Macaca fascicularis: one gene and its partner. The protein of the gene in region 1 purifies or fractionates together with the protein of each later gene. This does not show direct contact. Links are inferred from orthologs where the notes say so. Each region holds a gene or a part of one and is shown in the gene's direction. Other genes may lie near its edges. The genes, in order: PAK1 and GIT2.

Region 1 (4,378 bases):
AAATGGTGTGAGGCAAAGCTAGAAAGGCTAGTGTAGGCAGTCAGGTAGTAAAGTGCCAAGTTCAGGATTTTGAACTTTATCCTGAAAGCAATAAAATCCTTTCGGTGTTTAAACGGGAGGATGTCATCAGATTTGTGCTTTTATAAGGCTGCTCAGGTAACCAGTGGGAAAAACAGATTGAATTTGAAGGGACTAAAGGTTGCTCCAGTTGTTCAGGTGGTGGTACTAGAAGATGACGCAGGCAAGGACTTGAAAAATATTTAGGAGAAGCTACAAGACTTGGTGTCCAACTTGATATGGATGTTGAGAGAGGAAGAATGAGGATCTATTAGTACGTCTAGGTTCCTGGCTTAGGGGATTGCTGAATGGTGGCTCATTCATTGAGAACGGAAAGGAACATAAGCAATTTTGGGGGGGAAATTTCAAAATAAGAATTTTTTTGGGGGGGAGCCAACATTCTAAAGGGCTTGTTACTATTACTATGGTAAAACTGAGGCTTAGGAAGACCTAGTTAAGGTACTACTTATTATTACAGAGAAATGACGGCTTAGAAATGTTAAGGTCCTATCACTAATATTTGAACAGCTAGGATTTCAAGCAAGGCAATCTGATCCCGGACTCTCAGCCTTTCTAATGCTGTCTCAGTTTCGCACATATTGAATCTGAGGTACGACGAGTATGCAGGTAATGCTGCTCGGAAGGTATTGGGAAATACACAATCTGAGCTCAGGAGAAAGCTTTGGATCGAAAGTATCCTCCACGGTAAGAGAAAAAACGTGAAAGGAAGCCCATTCTTTTCCTAAGTGATTCTCCCACCTTAGGTGTGTGCTGCCATGCCTGGCTAATGTTTTGTATTTGGGTTTTATTTTTCTGTAGAGATGGGGTTTTGTCATGTTACCTTGGCTGGTCTCAAACTCCTAGGCTCAAGCGATCTGCCCACTTTGGCCTCCCAAAGTGCTGGGATTACAGGCATGAGCCAAGGCACCTGGTCTGGCCTCTTTTTATTAATCTTTCTTAAATGTATGTATAAGTCACATTGATGTCAATGTTTGATATTAGAGGTGTTTTGGTCTTTAGAAGTTTGGTGATGTCTTGTGACCAGAAATATGCCACAGGAACTTAACTCTTGTTTATATCAATTCACAATCCTATATCAGTTCACAGTAGTTCAAACTTCTCCGTTATAATTTCTTTGTCTTCCTCCCATCCCCGTCCCCTCTCCCACCTCCCACACAAAGAAAACATAATACACGTCTGGCTCTGCGATCACACAACGTCGGATAGTTTTCAACTTCAGCCCTTGACAACGAGTTTATAGATGCGGTGGTGCTTCGTTAACCTGAAGAGGATCCTCAGCCACGGAAGTTAGCCGTCTTTCTCCATCCTGGCTACACCATTAGCCCTCCCAGAAATAGTCCCAAAATTGTCTGGTAGAAATGCTGCACGGAAACTGCCGGCCAAGGACAGCGGACCGAGAAGAGTGACGCGACGCGATGACGTCACGCAGCAGCCGGGTGATTCCCCAGCCTCTGGCGTCACGCGCCGATGACGCAATCCCAGGCGTTCGCCCTTCTGCAGGCCAGGGTTTGGCCTCGCTCCTACGGGTCGGTCAGGCGCTCCCCGCCCCCTCCCACCTGCGGGAGGCGGGGCGGGCACGGCTCCGCCGGAGCCACCGCCGCGCGGGGGAGGGGGAAAGGCCGGGGGGGAGGGAAGGGGGAAAGGGCGGGGGTAAGGGGGAAGAAGGAGGAGGAGGGGAGCCAGTGAACTAGGCGGTCAGGCCCGCCTAGCGGCGTACAATAGCGCAGTTGTAGGCGGGGGAGGCGGCCCTGCCGCGGCTGCAGCCGGAGCCGAAGGTGGCGGCTGCACAGTAGACGCCCCCTCACGGCTTCCCCCACACGCTCCCGCCCCCTCGTTCGCCTATTGCGCCTCCCTCGCAGGCTCCGCCGTCCTCCTCCATAGACGCTTTCCCCCTCGGACTCTTATTCCCTTTTTCACGGAGCCCCGCGCTCTCGTGAGCCCCCTCGAAGAACCTGGTCTCCGCATCCAGTTCCCATCTCCTGCCTCAGAGGCCATCCGAGCTCTTCGCACCTCGCCCCTCAGCCCCCCACCGTTGCCCCCGCCCCGCGTCGTCTCGCTCCCTGCCGCCCCCCCATCATCCCTTCCCTCGCAGTTCCCCTGTCCTGAGGGGATCCCCGGCACTGGCGGCGCGGCGGCGGCAGGAGGGAGAAAGTGAAGCGGTAGCTCGCACACACTCGCGCCCTCACTCCCGGCTCGGCGGCACCCACCATCGGGAGGAGGAGGAGGAGCCGAGAGGAGCTGAGCGAGCGCGGAAGGTGAGAGCGGGCCTCCCGCCCGGTACCCCTCGCGTCCCGGGCTGCCAGGGTTGGGGCGCGGGGGTGGGGACGGGTGGAGTAGGGGTCTGGGCCCATTTATCTCGCGTGGCGGGGCCGGGCGCTTGGGCCGGCGGAGGCGCCAGGTAAGGTGAGGCGGGCGTCGCCCAGCGAGGCCCGCTCCCGTCGGGCCAACAAAGGCCCCCCGTGCGCTCACCGGCGGGGTCGCGGGTCTCAGACGCCGGGCGATCGAGAGACCCGGGAGAGGGAAGGGGCGGGGCGGGGCCAGGCCAGGCTGGGGCCGGGAGCCCCCACGGGTACCGGTCCGGGACCGAGTCCCTTCCGAACTTTGCAGTCCTGCAGAGCTCACCCTGTCCCACTACGAGGAGGCACAGCAAAGCGGCGCCCCAGTTCCTTCTGCATGGAATAAATGATCCCTTCTAGGCTTGGACAGTCACCTTTAGGGTTTTACTCCCTGAAAAATAAGGGCTGGTAGGACTTGACTTACGCAGCCCCTCCCCCACCGCGGAATATTCTGTAACTTGGGAAGTGAAAAACAACCGGGAAAGGAGATTTATAGTTATTTTATGTTCATTAATCCATTTGAAAAGACATGATTGTTGTAGTCTTCGCTATCCTATTTCAACAATACACATTACTGGGAATGTTTTGGAAGAATACTTGAGAAGTAGTGGGTTGTGAGCAACGTCCTTGGTTTTTAAACCCCTTGGATAATTGTTCTACTCTTACAAAAACTGAACAGTGAAGGGAAGGGTTAGTTCTGTGGTTACTAATAAAAATTCAATTCGTTAGTCTTGACTTTAAGAATTGTTCTTGAGAAAAATCTTTAATTTTGCCTCCTACATTTGTGGGTTCTCTTTCAACTCTGTCAGGAGAAAGTAGGAATTATCAGTACAGATACCTCATCTCTTACCTTGTGGCTTCATCTACTTCTTGTGTGACCTTGAGCAGGTCACTTCCAGCCTTAAAAGCTCCAGAAGTTTGGTTTTATGCCCCAAAACGGGCAGGTAGCAAGCACCAACTCAGCTTTCAAGAGTCCACTGAAGAATTCCCACACTGTGAAATCTTTGCTGGCCTCCATCCTGTCCCTCCTCTCAGACAGAACTGACTTTTTCCCATTGGCCCGGTGAGATTTCTACCACAGCACTTATAACATTTTGGTTCCTATTTGGAAAATTCTAAATCACGTGGGTAGAACCCCCACCCCCCCCCCAACTAGCAACTATGCCTTTCAAAAAGGGTTTTGGGAACATTGACGCTGAAAACTTCCCATACTTTCCCTGAAGTTTATCCATACGCTTAACTACATGAACTCATGTGTCTGCCTTGGTGAATTTGCTAATTCAGTCAATTCATTTATCCAACATTACTGGAGTTTGGAGAGCTACTATGTTTCAGGCCTCTTGCTAAGGCTATGGGGATTCAGTCTATTAAGATATTCCCGGTCTTCAAAGAGCTCAAAGTCTAATGGGTGAGGTAGACAAGTAAACAATGAAGGTCTGCCCTAATCTCTGGGGGACTCCAGTTGTACAGGTAGTAGTGTGCAATAATTGAGGCTGCTGGACCTGTTTTACAAGTCTTCTCTTGGCCAAAGTGAGTCCTGCAGGGAAGGTGACCTGCCTCATCCATAAGAGGGCATTTGGTAAAAAGCTTGTTCAGTTCAATTCAATATACATTTACTAAGCGCATGTTTTGAGTCCCAGTGCTAGGTTTGAAGGAAGCAGTGCCTCAAAGGAAGGTACTGTGCATCCAGAAAGATTTCCGTGAAACAAAACCTTACCACATCAATGCCCCCTACCCCTGACTCTTCATATTCTGAAGATAAATTTCAGACTAACATGGAATAAGAAACTCTCAGGCATCAGACCACTGCCTGCCTTTGCAGCCTCACTTTCTGTGGCTCCCCTGCCACTCTCATCTTCGCTTTTGCATGTTCTGTTTTCTTCCTGGATGCTTCCCTTCCACCCTTTACCTGCCTGTGGAGGTGTCCTTGTTGGGCCTTTGCGATGCAGTCCCTTAGTCTCTCC
Region 2 (4,554 bases), on another chromosome or scaffold:
TTTTTCTTTCTTTCCCTCTCTCTCTTCTCCTTCATTTTCATCTGGCAACCTTTTAAAAATGTAAAAATCATTCTTAAGTAGCAAGCCATACAAAAACAAATCATGGACTAGAAGTAAACAATGCATTATCTTAATTTTGAAGATGAGATTAAAACTGAAGCCTAAATAAGGAATCATCTAATATATTATTTTTTGTTATTTTTGTTGTCGTTGTTGAGTTGTTTTTGAGACAGTCTCACTCTGTCGTCCAGGCTGGAGTGCGGTGATGTGATCTCTGCTCACTGCAACCTCCACCTCCCAGGCTCAAGCGATTCTCACGCCTCAGCCTCCTGAGTATCTGAGATTACAGGCATGCGCCACCACGCCCGGCCAATCTTTTTTTTTTTTTTTTTTTTTTTTTTTTTTTTTTTTGAGACAGAATGGAGTGCAATGGCATCATCTCGGCTCACTGCAACCTCCACCCCCTAGGTTCAAGCTCCTGCCTCCGCCGCCTCCCAAGTAGCTGGGATTACAGGCACCTGCCACTGTGCCTGGCTAATTTTTGTATTTTTAGTAGAGACGGGGTTTCACCATCTCGGCCAGGCTGGTCTTGAACTTCTGACCTCGTGATCCACCCGCCTCGGCCTCAGAAAGTGCTGGGATTACAGGCGTTTGAGTCACCGTGCCCGGCCAATTTTTGTATTTTTAGTAGAGATGGGGTTTCACTATGTTGCCTAGGCTGGTCTCCAACTCCTGCCTCAAGTGATCCGCCTGCCTCAGCCTTCCAAAGTGTTGAGATTACAAGAGTGAGCCACCGCGCCCAGCCTGGAATCATATAATATACTCTTATTTTACTTTATCTACCTCAGTAAAATGCAAGCTTCATAAGGACTAGGAATTCAGTCTTTGCTCACTGCTGTTTCTCCAGTGGCTGGGACATTGTATAAAACATGGTAAGTACTCGATAAATATTTGTGGTTTTTTTTGTTTTTTTTTTTGAGGCGGAGTCTCGCTCTGTCGCCCAGGCTGGAGTGCAGTGGCCGGATCTCGGCTCACTGCAAGCTCCGCCTCCCGGATTTAGGCCATTCTCCTGCCTCAGCCTCCTGAGTAGCTGGGACTACAGGCGCCCGCGACCTCGCTCGGCTAGTTTTTTGTATTTTTTAGTAGAGACGGGGTTTCACTGTGTTAGCCAGGATGGTCTCGATCTCCTGACCTCGTGATCCGCCCGTCTCGGCCTCCCAAAGTGCTGGGATTACAGGCTTGAGCCACCGCGCCCGGCCGATAAATATTTGTTGAATAAAGGAATGAATCAATGAACTTGACCATTGATTGCCTCAGGAAGGTTGTGGCTGCAGGGTTCTCATCACAAGATATTGCTGCTTCCCCTGGTATTAATCAGTTGGGACGAGGGGAATCTCTGCCAGAGAGGGAGATCCAAATTCAATATTTAAAGGTAGGACAGATGATGCTCCAGCAGTCTCCTGCCCTCACTCAAGATGGCGACAAGGCAGCGTGCCCTTTCCGGTCACATGACCTGACACTCGCAGAAGGGCGCCTCCCCGCGCTTGCGTGCTATGCCAAGGCTGCAAGGCACTGAGGGGAGAGGCGCCGCCGTCAGCGCCGCCGCCGCTGGGACCCGTTAGAGCGGAAGCGCCGCCGCCGCCGCCTTTGCTGTCCCCGGGCTTCTAGTTCCCGGCAGGTGGGAGGCGGGAGCCATGTCGAAACGGCTCCGGAGCAGCGAGGTGTGCGCTGACTGCAGCGGGCCGGGTGAGTCGCACCGGCCGGGCCCGCTCCCCTCTGCTTTCCTGGCCCGGACCCCTACCCCGGGGCCGCCCACTCAGGTCAGGCGGCATCCTGCGGTCAAGCGTCCGCAGCCCACTACTAGGGTCTCAACGAAGAGGTCCCGGGGCGGCCTTGGGGCAGGACGTGTCCCGGGCCTGTCAGAGCCTGGCGGGCAGGGGGCCGCCGCCCTCCCAGTACCTCGCGGCCCTCCCTTTCCTCTCGTTCCCTCTAGTTCCCTCCCGTTCCCTCCGTCCCAGGCCAGCTGGGGAGGTGACGGGGGCCAGGGCTGCTCCCCCAACAGGAAGGGGCTTGGGCAATACACAGGAAAGCCAATTACAGAAGTAAAATGCGAGCGTCCTCCCGGCTGCAGCCTCCAGAGGCTGCAGGTGTCACCTCCCACTAGACCCTCTCTCCGCCTGGGTGCCCTGCCCGGGGAGGATGACACTCCCTGAGTCTCGCCAGAGGGTCCCCGTAGATGACTTCCCCGCTCCTGACATCCGACAGCTACTCTGTCGGGGAGAATTGCCAGTAGATCGGGGTCTTCCAGACACAACCAGCACTTAGGAGGCAGTGCGTGTCTCAAGTTTGAGGATCTGAATGGCCTGGGTTCAAACTAGATTTTGCTTCTGGGTGACCTTGGGCTGGTGACTTCACTTGGTCACTTGGCTTGATTTCCTCATTTTTTTCGATGAGGATAATCGGGAGTATCACGCTCAGTGGTGAGGAGGATTCAATGAATACTCGTAGGATCATATCATCTAAGGCTTTTCTTTTTTGCGTTATGCTGTCTACAATAGAACACTTGCAGTCCCTTAAAGCTAGAATTGACTATCTAAATCATACGTTGATTACAACTGAAACAAACGCAAAATCACCAGCAATATAGGGGCATTGAAACGCTAAACCATTCCTTCATAATGATGCATAACTGTTCATACATAATATTCACATTTAGAGATCAAGCGGATCTCAGCAATTGCAACTGAATTGTCAGGTCTCTGGATAGATTATTACATGCTGTTTTAGGTGCTTGGATGTATTGGCTTTGAGTTAATTCGAAGGTAACATGGCTTTCTTGGCACAATAGTGTCCGATAAACAATCTTAATCAAATCATTGAACACCACTGGCTTTGCAACTGTTCTAATCTTCAGCTTGTCATTTGGAAGTGAAGACTGATTGTAAATAGAACTGTGATAACTCAAACCTCATGTGGTGGTTTTAATGGCTGGTACAGTGCAGGTGTTACCAGTTTCCTTTGAAGATAGGGAGGGGGTGTGGAGGAGTTTAAAAAGAAGCGTTTTCTAAACCAAGTTAGTGTGAGTTATACAAACTCAAACTCCATCGTTTTCTCTAAAAATGTTATTTGTTCCACTTCCTTATTTTCTTGCCTGTTTTCAGTCGAACTTTCTGTGATGTGTTTGATTCATATGTGTCCAGCTTCTAACTTCCTCTTGGAATGCATATTGTTTTGCTTCTTGATGGGGTACGGGGCAAAGCAAAATTGTTCCTCCATTGCCATCCTAAATATACTTTTGCAGCATTTTGTGCATTTCAGAACATTTTCTCTTCCATTGTATCGCTTTAGTTGTTGTCTCATACGCCTGATCTGCAGAGACTTGAGTCACTTCCTTCCTGTTTTGAATATAAGTAGGCTACCTTGAAATATTCTGTGAAATTGAGCAGCCTGGAATTTGTGCTGCCTTTTCTGCAAAACCCTACTGAGAGAATTACCTGTAGGGTTAGGGACCCCTTTGAGATTCTGAGGAATGCTAAGGCCTTCTCCCCTAAAATGCACGTGAACGAATTTACCTAAGATTTGTCTAGGGGAGTCACGGACATTTTTGAAGTTCATTTGTGGTGTCCCTGGAGCCCAGGCATAAAGCCTCCAGATGAACTTAAAGGGTTTTACCCAATCTCATTCATACAAACTTATTTTTATTTTACCACGTTATCATTCTAATATTCTTTCCATGGGATTCTGATCCAGGATGCTAAAGTGGTTAGTCGAATACTTGTCTTAATTAATATGTGTTAAATACTTGCTAAAAAAAGAATAGTGCAAATCCTCTGAATGGTAAGTGAAAACCAAAGGTATACTTCAAAACAGTCTTTTTTTTTTTGGCCATTAGTGACAGTACAATACCGCAGGAAGCAGTGTTGTTATGCATCTTTGTAGAGCTCCTTCATCTGGACATTTCCAATCTCTGCTTTTTAGGATGATATAGTAATAGTGACAGTTATAATAAATTGAATTATTTTGATTCTATTTTATGCAAACATTTAACCATGATCACTTCTTAAATATTCTATTTTTTTGTGTGTTTGTTTGTTTTTTTAATGAATCTGGTTCGTTTCAAATACATCACACTCTGAGTTCAATTACTTGACAACTCCATGGAGATTTTCAATACAGTAGTATAGTGGTCACATGAAATGTTCAATGTTTTAAATATTTCCCATCAAAAACTTTTTCCAGTGATCGTGAATTTCACATCTAGAAAATATCTGAATTACTGAGAAAATAATTTAGAAAAGATATAACAGCTAACATTACTACTTTACTATGTGTGAGGTACCTCACTGATTCTCTATATCCTCACTATCCTGAGATATGTTATTATTCTCATTTGAGCCATGGTGAAAACACTCAAAGAAGTAGCTTGTCTGAGATCACTGTGCAAGAAGTGGCAGAGTTGGGGTTCAAACCCTGAATTGCTTGTCTCTAGAGCCAACCCTCTTAACCACCATAGTCACTGGCTCCCAGGATTTGTCTTTGATTGAAAGCCCATAA

Evidence for each region.
Region 2: the proteins of PAK1 (region 1) and GIT2 purify together in Homo sapiens (affinity purification with mass spectrometry; 5 studies listed by BioGRID and IntAct, with this or other methods). This does not show direct contact. The link is inferred for Macaca fascicularis from reciprocal best matches to the Homo sapiens genes PAK1 and GIT2.

What each region holds. Positions count from the first base shown.
Region 1 is NC_088388.1:76,357,865-76,362,242, reverse strand, and holds the start of PAK1 (serine/threonine-protein kinase PAK 1), read left to right. Parts: upstream 1-1,547; 5' UTR 1,548-2,333; intron 2,334-3,264; exon of another isoform or gene 3,265-3,471; intron 3,472-4,378. UniProt on the Homo sapiens protein: Protein kinase involved in intracellular signaling pathways downstream of integrins and receptor-type kinases that plays an important role in cytoskeleton dynamics, in cell adhesion, migration, proliferation, apoptosis, mitosis, and in vesicle-mediated transport processes.
Region 2 is NC_088385.1:116,867,008-116,871,561, reverse strand, and holds the start of GIT2 (ARF GTPase-activating protein GIT2), read left to right. Parts: upstream 1-1,553; 5' UTR 1,554-1,694; coding exon 1,695-1,746; intron 1,747-4,554. UniProt on the Homo sapiens protein: GTPase-activating protein for ADP ribosylation factor family members, including ARF1.